Linked DNA regions of Cricetulus griseus. The protein of the gene in region 2 purifies or fractionates together with the protein of the main gene of each other region. This does not show direct contact. Links are inferred from orthologs where the notes say so. Each region holds a gene or a part of one and is shown on either strand. Other genes may lie near its edges.

Evidence for each region.
Region 1: the proteins of Fam120a (region 2) and Rbm45 purify together in Homo sapiens (co-immunoprecipitation; 3 studies listed by BioGRID and IntAct, with this or other methods). This does not show direct contact. The link is inferred for Cricetulus griseus from reciprocal best matches to the Homo sapiens genes FAM120A and RBM45.

Annotation. Positions count from the first base shown.
Region 1 is NC_048599.1:98,653,190-98,660,560, reverse strand, and holds part of Rbm45 (RNA-binding protein 45), read left to right. Parts: intron 1-337; coding exon 338-460; intron 461-1,293; coding exon 1,294-1,479; intron 1,480-2,907; coding exon 2,908-3,037; intron 3,038-3,189; coding exon 3,190-3,277; intron 3,278-3,469; coding exon 3,470-3,633; intron 3,634-5,347; coding exon 5,348-5,540; 3' UTR 5,541-5,546; intron 5,547-7,371. UniProt on the Homo sapiens protein: RNA-binding protein with binding specificity for poly(C). May play an important role in neural development.
Region 2 is NC_048596.1:268,760,853-268,768,794, forward strand, and holds the start of Fam120a (constitutive coactivator of PPAR-gamma-like protein 1), read right to left. Parts: upstream 5,369-7,942; 5' UTR 5,329-5,368; coding exon 4,855-5,328; intron 1-4,854. UniProt on the Homo sapiens protein: Component of the oxidative stress-induced survival signaling. May regulate the activation of SRC family protein kinases. May act as a scaffolding protein enabling SRC family protein kinases to phosphorylate and activate PI3-kinase.

The DNA.
Region 1 (7,371 bases), on a different chromosome or scaffold from region 2:
CTAAATGTGAAGATGCCCAGTGGAGTTTTGATCCTAAGGAAACTGGGAAAATAGGTAATACCATCTTTTGGGAGGATGGCACAGCATGGCTGACCTTTCATTTCTGTATTAGTTGATCTTTACTTGGGGGTTCTTGGTTTGTTTTTCTGTTCTCATTTATATATTTTATTTTATTTATTTGTCCTTTACCATGAAACAAAGAAGTAGGTCTGATGAAAATGGTCACCATGTAGAGGCTGTTTTGTATAGTTATATTTCTGAAACCAGGTCAGACCCTCAAAACCAAATATGTTAAATTTGCTATGAAACTTGAAAATTCATGGCTTCTCATTTTCAGGTTTCAGAGCACTCTTGGCTGAACCTAAAAATAAAGTACCTGAGTCCCCAGAACAAGATTATTACAGTAGCATGAGGCAAGAGGCTTTGGGGCATGAACCGAGAGTAAATCTGTTTCCCTTCGGTGAGTAGACCGCCTTTATCTTTACATTAGCAGCATGGTAAGTATATGTGATCCAATTTAATTTTTTGTCAGCAACTTGAAAAATCTTTCCTAATGAATGAAAATCTTACATGCAAGATTTGTTTTGTTTTTTCCTGGGAAGTTGGTCAGTACTTCTAATATCCTTAATACTTAACCCTTATTTTGTTCAACTTATTTCCAGTATAGATGTCTCTGGCTAGCTGCACATTATCTACAAACTATCCTGTGTGTCTACTACCTTTGCATGTGTGTGAATTCTGCTTTTGTGCAGCCAACCAAAAGCATAAATTTTTTACACAAATATCCCTTCAGTATGCTACCTTAAAGTTTGGTTTACAGAGAGGAGAATAGCAAAAGTAGATGCTAGAAAAGGGTGAGGGGAAATGATGAAATCAAGGTGCCTGGATGTCATTGGCTTAGCTTTTCAGATAAAATTCCTGCCATGTTTTACAGTTTTATATACTCAACTCCTTCCTGTGGTATTTAACTAGACATTTCTGTAGTTCTGTGTTGAAGTTTAGTAAGGAGTGGGTGAAGGTGTTTTCTTGTCATTGCTTCTTTATGCTTGTAGACTACTACAGTACTGCAAAGTAGGGGCGATAGATGTGATCAAAACACATTGGATACATGTATGAAATTCTCAGAGATAAATTAAAAATGTATTTCTAAAAAGAATACAACAAAATACAGTGTCTTTGTTCAGTATAGTACATTTTAAATATCCTTTACAAAATGTTTACATGAATTTTTAATGTATGATTTACTTTTGTGTGTGTGTGTGTGTGTGTGTGTGTATGTATGTATGTATATAGTTGGGGAACAACAATCTGAATTTTCAAGTTTTGACAAGAGTGACAGCAGAAGTCAGGAAGCTATCTCTAAACGCCTGTCAGTTGTCTCAAGAGTCCCCTTCACGGAAGAACAGCTCTTCAGCATTTTTGACATAGTCCCAGGACTGGAGTATTGTGAGGTTCAGCGAGATCCTTATTCGAATTATGGTAAAATAATTGTTTTGCTGTTAAGTTTACTGTGTTTTATTAAAGTAGTTTTTACCCATGACACATCCTTATACTGTTTATGTTGCAGGAAGTTTATATTTTATGTTTTCTAGTTTTTTTAATTCTTTTGATAACAAACATGTTGCTTGTACAGTGATTATTTTTACAATGCCATTTTGTTCAGGTATATCATGTACTTTAAGCTCATTGCTACCTATTACCCTCTCCTGTTCCTTTTTTCCTACCTTATATTTAAAATCCAAAGATACCTTAATAAATAAATTCCCAAGAATGTATAAATAAATACATTCCTTATAAATGCCATTCACCTAAAAATAACTCACAAAATAAAGGACTCTATATCGCATTGTACAACAACAGTGCCTCGGGCTAGGGTCTGTTTTTTCCCTTTGGATTAATGCTAGCAAAATTATAAAATGCTTGCCGTTTCTTGCTCATTCATCTGCAAGTCTTTTTCTTAAACTGTCTTGCCTTTTAAGTGCTCTGCATCTCTGTGCATTCTCAGATTTGCAGTAGAAGCAATGTGTATTAGTTACAACCAAGACATTCCCCACTGGCATGTCAGTAAGTATTCTGAGCCAGGCAGTACCTTAGCTGAGGTTCCCCCTCCCCAGGTGACTCTATGTTGTGTCAAGTTGATAATAAAAAGTAATCTGTACATACAATTTGATTTACACAAGAATATGATTTTGTGTTTTTCCCCAAAGTGGGTTATGAAAACCTTCTGGTTGTGTCACAGGCTCCTAGGCTCAAAGATAAAACCTCCCCACCCCTCAGGGCCGCCTCTTTAATTGAAAGCTATCCCCAGAGCTGGAATCTTAACAAAGGAATGTGAAATGGGCAACTTGCAGCCTAAGACCCTGTCACCATCCTGCTGTTTTTCCTATGTACCACCTCCTCCGCTCTTCCAACTACTGAGTATACAGTATAGTAGGGAAAACTCCCAATTTCAAAGAATTAAGAGTTTCAGTTTTTGTGTATATTGATGTTCTGTAAGAAAATTTAAGCTGGGCCTGGTGGTGAGTGCCTGTAGTCCCAGTCCTCACTGGGACGCAGAGGTAGTGGAATTGCAAGTTAAAGGCCAATGGCTTGGTCTATATAGTGAGATCCCGCTAAGAAAAAGGGATGGGGGGGGGAATCTTAAAATTCAATTCATTAGATGGAATATATGCTGATACTACATTTTCATAAAGTACTATGTTTCTGTTTTACCAAGATTTGACTTACACTTCACTGCCTACAAATAATGTTGTGTATGTACTTAACAGAGCTTTGTTCTCTGCTCTTTGATTTTGTATTTGCTAGTTGTGTGATAATAACCAAAGTTCAGTATTTTTTGCCTTCAAGTACATTATAACTCAGGCCTTAAAGACACCTCCATCTACTGCCTTTTCCATTTCTGTATAGGTCATGGTGTGGTTCAGTATTTTAATGTAGCATCTGCTGTTTATGCAAAATACAAATTGCATGGATTCCAGTACCCCCCTGGGAATCGGATAGGTGTTTCCTTCCTGGATGACGGAAGTAATTCGGCAGAGTAAGTACCATTCCAGGAATGTCCTAGCCAAGCTGTGGCTTGAAGAATAAAAATAAACAGTTAACCTCAGGTGAGCAAGTCATTTCCAACAAACTACTATTAAGATGCTGAATATTTCTAATTTTCTGTAAGTTGTCGATTGTTGTTTCCAGTCTCATCAGAAAAATGGCCACACAGATGGTGGCGTCCCAGCTCGCATCAATGGTGTGGAGTAACCCAAGTCAGCAGCAGCAGTTTCTGGTAAGTAGGTAAAAGTGTGACCTCTGTAATACAGGAAACAAATAATACGGCATTTGTTGATTACTGAAGAAAGAACATTTTCATAGCTGTTGTAAAAGACCACATGGGTGCTGGGACACACTTTCAGCTGTTGGCTCCAAGTCCCTGAAGAACAATCTTATCTCTCTCCCTTTGTGCCTAACTCTTCCACAGCAATTTGGAGGAAGTTCTGGGTCACAGTTGCCTCAAATCCAGACAGATGTTGTACTTCCATCCTGCAAAAAGAAAGCCCCTCCCGAAACGCCTGTGAAAGAAAGACTTTTTATCGTGTTTAACCCTCATCCATTACCATTAGACGTGTTGGAGGATATATTCTGGTAAGATTCACTTCTACAAAGCTACACCTTGGTAGCTGTAAACAATGCACTTAAGCAAGGAACCGCCATCCTCATGATCCTGCCACTGAGAGATGACCTGTTCTGAGGTTTGCAAGACTCCTTATTGATCTTTTCAATTTATGGTCATTTCCCTTGTCAGGCACATATCCTAACCTCTACACAGAATTTCCCAGGTTTGTTGTTGTGTTTGCTTTTGTGTTTTGAGACATAAGACATGCAGGATGGTTTTTAAAAGCTGCAGGTGTGGAATGACAAATCACTTGTCTCTTAGGAGTAGATCCATTTACATAAACCTGTCTTCACATTCCATTTCCTTCATGTCGTAATACAGTCCAACAGTTTACTAAATGCCTTACATTTGCCTGGCACTCGGTTAGATCCTGAGGATTATGTCAAATAGAGCAAATCACTTGGCTATAGGGGATAATATAAAGGAAAGAGGAGGAAAAAATTTTACCTATTTTTTATTTTAATATAACTTTTTATGACTACCCTAGCTTTTTTTTTTTTTTTTTTTAACCCTACCTGGTTTTTGTTTGTTTTGTTTTTTGGTTTTTTTTGTTTTGGGGTTTTGGTTTTTGTTTTTGTTTTGACATTTTCCTTTTGCCTACTAAGAATATTAATGAGTTAAGCAAGTTAGAAACATGTTAAATATCCACTCAGAATATCAGGCGTGTGGTGATAGTATGCTGGCCTTTATATAACTGATTAATTTAGCTAAAGGTTTTGTTTTATTTTGCTCTTGAGCTACTTCTCTGTGCTAGGCAGCCACTGGGCTGGAGTGCTAAAGTATGATATAAACAAAACTGTTTATTACATTAACAAGACATTAAGTATACAGAGCAGCAGTGGTACCACAGAAATTCTGAGATTTCTCTTTTAAGCAAGGTTTTGATAGGACCTGCAGGATAAACCTAGTTTTGCCAGAGGAGAAGGTTGGGGTGTGTTATTGTTTTGTTTAAAAAGAAGAAAAGAGAAATTTCTGAGACATGAGACTTAAGACTATAAGTTTATTATAAGGCCCGAATGGGGAGACTAAGAAGAGGAACAGGGGTAAATGGCTGACCGCCATGGCCGGTCGCCATAGAGAGACAGAGCGGGGAAACAGAGACGGGAGAGCACACAGAGAGAGAGACAGACAGAGAGAGCGTAAAGGGGCAGGGGCTTATCTTTTAAAGGGGTCCTCTGCACCTGCGTGCAGACTTCTTTCCCATGGAACCTTGGGCTGACCAGGGTATTGCCTGAGTGGATTCCACCAGGTAACAGGGGCAGGCCAGAATAATGCCTGAACCTTTCAGAGTGTAGTTTGAGTTTTGGAGGTTTTGTTTGTTTTCCTGCCAGAGGAATATAAAAAGAGATTGTTTGGAAGCAGACTTAGAGATTGTGTGTGTGGGGGGGGGGGGGTGTCCAAAGCTGGAGAAGCCAGTGACTGTCCTGTAAGCTAAGTTCATTCTTACTTGGGAGGTGAGGTGAGACTATTGTTAGAGGGAGGAACAGATAAAGATGCGGTTGGTGAGGAAGGAGGCCTGGAGAGCTAAGAGAATAGCTGAAGGAGCTGTTTCGCAGTACCTGGCAAGCAGTTAGATGTTGGCCATAGACAGGCATTGGGAAAGAATCTAGACCCGTGTTTAGAATGTACTGAGAGCATCCATCTGTCTCTGATGCTTTCTTTGTTTTTTTTACTTTGTTCCAGTCGTTTTGGTAACCTGATAGAAGTTTACCTTGTGTCAGGAAAAAATGTGGGCTACGTCAAGTATGCAGATAGAATGAGCGCCAACGATGCAATCTCAACCCTGCATGGGAAAATTCTGAATGGAGTCCGACTGAAAGTCATGCTGGCAGACTCGCCACGAGAAGAACCCAAAAAGAGGCAGAGAACTTACTGAGTCTCGGTAAGTGTGTCTTCCCCACTAGCGAAGGAGTATAACAGGAATGTCTGTAAGTACTTTACTTGTGAGCTTTCCTTGGGGGACTCTAGTTACAACCTTGTTGGCTTAAACCTTAGGAAAGCCAGGTTGTTTTTTTGTTTTTTTGTTTGTTTGTTTTTAATTTAAAAAATTTGTTTAAACTCGGGACTGGGGAGATGGCGCAGCAGCTATGGGCTTGCTGCTCTTCCAGAGGACATATGTCAGGCTTCCCGTAACCACCTGTATGTACCTAAAGCTCTAGAGCAATCCAATGCCTCTTCTGAACTCTAAGCACATTCTGTCATGTCTACATACCCACAGACAGACACCTAAATCCATACACATAAATAATAAAATGTGCCTTTAAAAAGTAATCTCCGACTTCTTACTAATGAAAAACAGTGTGAAATAATATATATTTTTGGAACTTTTAAACCTAAATATTGGTGTCTTTCTGAACTCAACTCAATCTTCTATGTCTTTGGTGGGTTTCTCTATGAATTAAAGGGATACATCATCTTTAGATTTTTTTACTCTAATGAATTCTGAGTTTTAGGGACAATCCATTTCCTGTTTCCTACACTCATCATGCTCCCAGCCTTGCTCTATGTCAGGTGTATCCAATTCTGACTGCTACTAGGAGCTAGTAACTGTCAGATTTAATCCTGTAGGTCTGGCCACTGTAGACCCTTCTTTTGTAAAGCAAAGGAAGTCATTTGTTCCTCCTTTTTAGGAGTCATGTGACAGGGGAAATGCCCTCTGGGCCCATAGAAATAATCCTACTTTAAAAATGCTTTTAAATGTTTTATTTAATGACAGAATCCACACCCATTACACTAAACAGTTGGCAGTTTAGCTCTAAACCAGTGAAAGAGAATTAACAACTAATTGTTATTAATTTAACTCTGTTTAAGTGAACAGTCCTTTAAAGTATTCTGCAAAAATTACACTTACCCCTGTGTCTAAATATTTTAGCTTATAGGTTGACAATTACTGCTTTTGTTCAGGGGATCTTTGCCCTTTCAAGGGGTAGTAATATTAACTTCCTAGTACAGAAAAATGTGCAAAGTACTCTCGTGGTTGAGCCTTTTCTAATGATAATTTACATTTTAGAGGGAATTATTGGCTTATAATCTCAGCACTCAGGAGACTGGAGCAGAAATACTGACTGAGGGTAATGTGAATCCATGGGGAAGCATGGGAGAGAGTGTGAATGAGCATGAAGCAGAAGGTTTGGACTAGATCCACCTCTGATTCTTAAATCTGCATAGATCCATTCACTTTTTGGAAGCATGGTTTTTTGCTAGGTTTCTTGTAAGGTACAGAGACAGCAGAATTCCTGATAAAATGAAAGAAAGGCTTTGTAAATGTGAACAAAATCTCATATTTATGGATTTAGTAGAGCCTTTCAGATGTCATCTCATCCAGTGGTCAGTAAAAGCTTGATGGTGCACAACTACCTCCCTACCAGCTCGCTTTAAAATATGGCAGCTTCACCTTCATAGTGCTGTGCATTCCTCTGGCTTCCTAATTAAAGAAACTGCACAGTTTTCAGCATGGCTAGCAATCAAAGTGTAAATATGTCCCTTTCCCATTATGGAATTTTGATACATAGTCAGGGCAGAGATCAACTTGAAAATTGTGACTTGGTTACAATAGAAATTGTATATAATTTAGATGTTTTCTAATTGCACCATGACAATTATTTTTGCAGTACATCCTCCTGTTTATCTTAGATATCACAGTGAGATTTTCTACCTTTGGGGGTACATTTAGTAATTATATTGGCCAAGTTCATTGACCTGAACCT
Region 2 (7,942 bases):
TCTCACCAAGATTCTTAAATAAACACGAGTCACTCCCCAAGGCTTCAAAGGTTACCACGACTCAAGGTACACAAAGGCCACTCTACCAGTGTGACCAGCAAATGCCATGTTCATGAAACACTGTGTATGTCCACAAGAACATAACCTCGAGTATAAGCCAACTTACAATGGTCACGGAGATCCACTAACTGTACAAAACGTGAAGCCGGCAAGACGGCTCAGCAGAAAAAGGACCTACAGCCAAGTCAGAAAACCTGAGTCTATCCCAGGACCCACATGGAGAGAAACCAATTGTCCTGTGACTTCCGTTTGTGCCCCTGACACATGTGCCACACCACAAAATAAATTTAAATGTAATTTAAAAACATAGTTATTACTCTAGCAAAGACGCATTCTCTAAATAAAAATGACAGGAAAGTATAGCTTTCTGTCAATTTATAAAACACTAGAAAAGGTAGTAGAGTAGGGAAGGGGAAGATAGAGATGGAGATGACCAAAAGGGATGGTTTATATGTATGAAACTGTCAAAGAATAAATAAAAGATATCCATCCAATTTGAAAAAAACACTAGAAAAAGTGAAATAGGCCGGGTGTTGGTGGCGCATTATTAATCCCAGCACTCAGGAGGCAGAGGCAGGCGAATGTCTGTGAGTTCAAGGCCAGCCTGGTCTCCAGAGTGAGTGTCAGGATAGGCTCCAAAGCTACACAGAGAAACCCTGTCTCAAAAAAAAAAAGTGAAAAAGATGGTTTTTAATATTTTTGTAACAAGTGTTTTTATATAATGTGCATAGGTGTTCAAGACAATTTCTTTACCAATATCTACCTTTTTAAAAAAGTAGTCCTCTCCTGACTTTCACAGCCACTTCCTAGACTCCCATCCCTGTGGCTTTCTCTTTCAGAGAAAGTCCTATAAAGAGAAGCACACTGAGAAGTGCGTGTGGGGGGGTGTAAGTCAGATGCTGACAACGGGCATCTTCCTCAAGTACTTTCTACCTTTGTGAGAAAGGGTTTCTCACTGAACATGGCGCTTACTGGCCAGCAAGCCCTAGGGATCTTCCCATGTCCACTGCGCAGCACTGGGGTTACAGCTGCACACTGCCCCCATGTCCACGCTGCACACCAGGGTTACAGCTGCACACTGTCATGCTCACCTTCTTCTATGGCTGCTATGGTCCTACATCAGATTCTCCTGTTTGTGCAGCAGGCATTACCAACTGAGCCACCTATTACTTGGGGTTTTTTGTTTTGTTTTTTTCCAAGACAGAGTCTTATGGAGCCTAGGCTAGTCTCTAACTGCTATTCAGCTGCAGTTAGCCCCGAACTTCTTATCCTCCTGCTTTTACCTCCCAAATACTGAGGCCAGAGGTGTATGCCACTATGTCCAGTTTATACAGTGCTGGCCATGGACTCCTGGACTCCACACACGAGGCAATGCTCTACCCACTGGTTATATTCTCAGAGCAAATGCTAGTGCTTATGAGAATAAAGTTTCATTAAGAAAAATACCCATTAGTGGGATTTGCTAGAACATGTACACTTATTAAGAAACTGCCACTAGAGAAAAGGCTCAGTGATGAACACTGGCTGCTCTTCCAGAGGACCCAGTTCAATTCCCAGCAACCACATAGTGGTTCACAACCTTCTGTAATTTCAATTCCAGAAAATCCAATGCCCTAACCTCTGCAGATACCAGGCACAAAAGATGTGTACAGACATACATGCAGGCAGAACACCCATACACACACACACACACACACACACACACACACACAACAAACAGTTAAACAGAGAACAGGAAAGGTAATTTTTATGACTCAAAAACATCCTTTTTAAAACATGCACCATACATTATTACTTTTTTAAAAATTATTTTTAGAGTATTGATGTGTATGAATGTTTTGCCTGCTTGTATGTCTGCGCACTGCATTCACACCTGGTGCCTGTGGAACTCAGAAGAGGCTTCTGATCCTCTGGAACTGGAGTTGTAGATAGTTGGGAACCACTATGAGGATGCTGGGAATCAAATCCAGGTCCCCTGTAAGAACAAGTGCTCTTAACAGCTAAGCCATCTGCCAGCCCCTCAAAGTCATCCTCATAGAATAAATACTGCAGTACCCTCAGGGATACCAAGTCCACGGGATTGTTTTCTTGGTTAAAAATAGCTCCCAGAATTCCGCCTGCTTTCTGCAGTTTCACATCTTCTCTCTGGTGTCACTTTTTGCTATTAATGGTGCTCCTGCCTCCAGCAGACTTTCTTCTTCAACCTCTCTCTCCTCAAATGGAGTTAAGGATATGGACAACTGGGGTTGCTACAGCTATATCTGGAAAGGCTGGAGCAGGCTGAGCGAGAGCACAAAGGTCCCGGATCCTTCAGGCAGGAAAGACAACACTATTCTCCTGTCATTGTACCCAAGGTTCTTGACATCTTGCTTGGTTGCTAAGACATTTCTAAAAGCTCAATCTTGTAGGCATTTTTCAAAAAGGTGAGGTTGCTAAGAAGACCACAGGTTCTCACCCTGAAGCCCATGCGCTAGCCTCAAACTCAGGATCCTCCTGCCTCAACTTGCCAAGTACTGTGCGACAGGCATGCCCCACCAAGCACATCTAGATTGTCTCCAGTCTAGCTTCACACACTACATTGATCAAAATCCCAAGTACCTACTAGGTATGGGAGGCATTCACAAGGGCCCAAAGATGTTACAATTAGACAGATATGGTGTCCTTTAAATCTCAGCCTCAGGAGGCAGAGGCAGTGGCAAGTGGACCTCTGTGAGTTCGAGGCATAGAACTCTCTACATAGAGAGTTACAGGCAGGTCAAGACTATAAAGTGAGATCCTGCCTTTAAAAAAAAAATTACACTTTAGAAGAATCAAACATTTCTTGCAAAAATGGCAAAAGCACACACAAGCATTTGCACACACACAGAGATTCTAATCTGAATATTCGATGTTTTCTTGAATGTTGGCTGACTAAAGATACAGCCCAGTGCTGTTAGCAAAAGCAGATAATAAAGCTCACTGTGTCTTAAATGTCACTTCCCATCACCAAACAGCATTAAGCCAGGACCTTTTCAGGCTGTCCACCAGAGGTGAATCAGAGAGGAAGGGCTCCACTTTCCCCTCCCAAGAGCCCCAGGCTACAGAGAAAAAGTGAGAGGCACACACACAGCCTCTCATACTAACTAGCTGAGAAATGACACGCCGTGTATCTGCCACCCTCCTGGGCCAATCACCACTCTTCCATCTGCCTCCACCCACAGACTTAAACACAAGTTCACCAATTGCAACAGGACCCTGGGTGGGACTTCCGCAATCAGTTTAGGTTTAACTACCACCATCTCATCACTGCCAGCAGGGATGACCAGGAAGAGGGAAACAGTCTAAAACTTTCAACTCAAGCTCAGTTTCCAAACAAAAGAACAAGTTGGAAGACAGTGACAAGTGTAAAAACTCAAAACAGCCTCATCCCCCTTGCCCCTGAAAATAAGTGTTTTAAAGAAAACATGAAAATGCAAGCTATCCAGACTTTTGAGGATCAGCTAGGTGCTCAGCTTTCAGTCAAGTGCTGGGCCCTTAAGTTCTCCTCTGGCCCAATTTTGGCTGCTGAGCCTTCTGCCAAAGGGACAGACAGCAGAAGGCTGACAATGTGCAGCTCTCCTTACCCACCCATCAGGGCCCACTGAAGGTCACTGAACGCTTCCTGTGCAGCAGAAAAACAGCTCTTGAAAGCTGGTGCCTATGCCAAACGACCCCCAAAATTCTTCCTGATTCTGAACTAGTACACTCAGACCAGAAACACAGAATTGAACCACAGAACTAACAGGGACCCATCTCAACAATACACTGAAATCTAACACCAAAATTTTACCATGGGCAGTTTCTCCAAACATTTCATTTCCAAAGGCAGAGGAGTGGGGGCATCTACTCTGAGAATCAGAAAGCAGCAAGAGCCTCTACACAAAGTTCACCTCCCACAGCTTTGGAGACAATCTATTTTGAGCTGCTTGTCCCTAAGGCCCTGGCGATCCACTGTCACTGTTTATTCTACAGACTTCCACGACAAACCTGTTGCTGGGAAAGAGCGGGTTAATTTCGACTGATGCATACAAATTAAGTCTAAGACCAGCGGGTAGCCTGCCAGCCCCCAAAAGGAGGGGAAGAGACTGAGGATGTTGGGGATGACACCACCAACCCCACTTGGGTCTGTCCCCCAGCCTCAAGTGTCTCATACACAAGTCTACTGGTACACAGCAGACCAAAGAGAAAGTGCAGAGGGATGGCTGTGGGCGGACTTCAACCACACCGGGCCTAAAGGGCCCGCCATCCATCTTGCTCCAGGCCCCCTCTGCGGAGCTCGAGTCGAGCCTGAGCATGGTGACACCCTGTGTCCCGAGAGGGCCCCTGAGAGATACTGAGGCCTGCTCCCCTGGCCTTCCACAGGCAGGGGCACCCAAGACTTATCCTGGGTCAGACTGGGCTTCCCGGAACTAGTCCAGCCCTGACACTGGCCCAAAAGGACCCCACAGGCCCAACTCAAACCCAAGCCCGAAGTGACCCGAGGCCAAGCCTTGAACCCTGGCCCAAGGGACCCCGGGCCCAATTCTGACCCTGGCCCAAGGGACCTCAGACTCAACTCCGACCCCTACCCAATCAACTCCAGGCCCAGCCCAAACACAAGCACCAAGAGGCCAGTAGCTCAACCCTGACCCCTGCCCAAGTGACCCCAGACCCCAACCCTGACCCCAGCCCGAAGGGATTCCAGTCTAAGGGGCACCAGGCACGACCCTGACTCGGGCCCAAAGGGACCCCAGGTCCACCCCTGAGGGACCCCGGGCCCGCCGACCCCAGCCGCACCTTGACGTGGAAGCGGATGAGCGCCAGGCGGATGCAGTGGGCCATGCAGACCGGTGGCAGGAACCAGACCTTGGGCGGTGGCGTGCCCTTGTTCTGGACATGGCTGACGATCTGCTGCGCCGTCTGGCGCTCGTTGCCCTGCCGCTTGACCCACTCGTGCAACCGGGCCTTCTCGAGCGCGCCGTTGAAGAAGACGAAGAGCTCGATGTTGCCGCCGAAGCAGGCCTTGGCCAGAGCCGCCAGGTAGCCGAGCATGTGGTTCCACTGGCCGCCGCTCACCCAGTCGGTATAGAAGCCACCGTACAGGCGGTGCAGGCAGTTGTCGGCATCCACCAGCAGGCGCAGCGGGGTCTGCGGGGGCCGCTGCCGCCCGCCGCCCACCAGACTGCCCCGGGCCAGCTTCTGCAGCTCCACCGGCACCACGGCGCTCGGACAGTGCTTCTCGATGTAGTCCTGGAAGCCCTGCACGCCCATGGCTGCGGCGGCGGCGGCGGCGGCGGCAGCGGCGGCGGCGGCGGGCGCGCGCGGGCGGCGGCGGCGGCGGCGGGGCCGGCGGCGGCGGGGCGGGGGGCGGCGGGGCCGTGGCGCGGCCGGCGGGCGCGGGCAGCCTCAGGGCGGGCTGGGGCTGGCCGGGGCGCGCTCACGGCCACCTCGGCCGCCATGTGCTGCCACCTCCCAGGGCCATGTCTGGGGAGGGACCTGCGCCGCCGCCGCGCTGCGAGGCCGAGGCCGAGGCTGGGCCGGGCGGGGCGGCGCTGACGTCGGGCCCGCCCGCGCGGACGCGGAAGGCGGAAGAGGCGGCGCCGGGCCGCGGCCGGGCCCGGGGCGGCGGCGGGCGGAGGAAGAGGAGGAGGCGGAGGAGGAGGAAGAGGAGGGGCTGGTGGCGCAGGCGCAGGCCTCGCCCGGAGGCCACGGGCCTCGGAGGCCGGCCCCGCCCAGCGCGCGGCTGCGAGCTCGGGAGGCGTGGCCGGCGGCCCGCGCTCCTCCTCCACCGCGTGGTGGGAGCCGCGGGGCGAAGAAGCCGGGAGCCTGGCACCGCGAGCCGCTGAGGAGGACGGGGGCGACAAGATGGCGTCGCTCCCGGGACAAGGCCGTGACTCGACGGCCGCGCGTCAGAGCCCGGCTGAGGAGACGACTCTCCGAGAGCCGCAAGCCCGGCGGCGTGGCGCCGCCCTCCGGAGACGGGCGGACGTGCGCTGCCCCGGGGCTGCCTGAGGAGGCCGCCAGGATCCCGCTGAACCCCGGCGGCGGCGGCGGCGGCGGCGGTACGTAGGCTCTGCTGGGAGCAAGCGCTCTGAAAGAGACGTCTGTCCCAGCGCTCCCGCGCGGCTCGCCTGGTACAGTGCCAGCCGGCAGGCACGCAGCCCCGGGCCCGACCCCTGTGTGCAGCGCGGGCCTTAATCCCCGTATTCCGGAAGAAGTGGAGGCCGGAGGATCAGAAGCCCAAGGTCGTCTGCGTCCGGTTGGAAATCATCAGCCCGGGCGGCAAGAGACCCTGTCTCCAAAACCAAGTTTAAAGGAGCGTGTTTGCTTACCTGCGCTCTTCATCTGGGCTTCCTCTGGGCGCGCCGGTGCTGGAGCCGGGGGCACGCAGAGCTCCTGAGCACCAAGTCCATGCAGACCCAAAGCCCCCGTCGGTCTCCGAGAAAAGGCAAACGGAGTTCTATAGTTTTCCTTTTTTTAAGAATATTTCTATTCCTTGGCAGCTTCGTCCATGTCTTACAATGCATCGTGATCATAACACCTCATTCTTAATCTCAAGCCCAGGCCCCTGTGACGTAGATAAAACGCTCTTGGTGCCTTGATGGAATTTTAAAACCCGATAAGTTATGCCACTTATGTATAAAGTTAGAGATGAGGACAGGATCACGTGTTATTTGGAAATGGGACTTGCACTTAAAACCTCGCTAAAGAATAACACCCCCAAAATAGCCAAATTTTTTTGGAATTCATAGTATACAAGATTGAGCATGAGTCTCCGTCACTTGTATTTTCAAGAACAAGATTCCACATATTTTCATGCAATTGTTTAGGTTTGTGTTTATTTTTGTTGAGGTTTCTTGTTTGCTGGTCTGTTTCTGCAGAGCTGGGGGGGGGGGAACCAACTCAGGGCTCGATAGCCCTTTGCCATTGCTGACTCCCCATGCGGTTTTTATTTCTTTTAAACATTCGTATTTAAAAAGAGAGAGAGAGAGAGAAACCCTTTTGTGCTAGTAGTCATAATTCTGGAAATAAATGTACTTTTCATCTTAAAACAGGAACATCAAGGTTCTCGAGGTGGACCACCGATTCTGTGTCATCTTCACTTTGGTCCTTCCAAAAACCACTTTGTCCGTGAGAACCTTGGCTTTCACTGACCTTCAGGCTAAGACAGATGCTAAATACTGGATTTATACTCACTTCCTACTCCTGTGGTTAATGATGGGGGAAATGTTTGGCTAACAACAGTGCAAATAAAACTCAGGCGTTGAGTAATATTTAAATTCTCTAAATACCAAGGTAAAAGTAAGCCCTATTGAAAAATAAAACTTTTTTTTAAAGATTTTGTTTATTTTTTATGTATACAACATTCTGCTTCCATGTATATCTGCACACCAGAAGAGGGCACCAGATCTCATAATGGATGGTTGCGAGCCACCATGCGGTTGCTGGGAATTGAACTCAGGACCTCTGAAAGAGCAGCCAATGCTCTTAACCTCTGAGCCATCTCTCCAGCCCAAAAAATAAAACTTTTTATCTGCCTGGGAATACAATATGATTAGGGGATTTTTTCTTCATTTAGTCTTTGGGTTGTATTAAATTTTTCATGAAGAGATTACCAAGCTATTGAGAAAAAAAAAAAAACTGAAAAATTAAAATGTTAAAAACTGCCTAACCATAGGCTTCACAAGAATTACCAAATAAAAGTAAGATTACTGATAGTGGTAGGGGGCACAGATCCTTAATCCCAGCATTCAGGATGCAAAGGCAGGTGAAGCTTTGTGGACTCAAAGCTAGTCTGTTCCAGGACAGCCAGTGCTACATAGAGACCCTGTCTCAAAAAAAAAAAGAAAGAAAAAAATTATGATTACTGAATTAAAACGAAAGC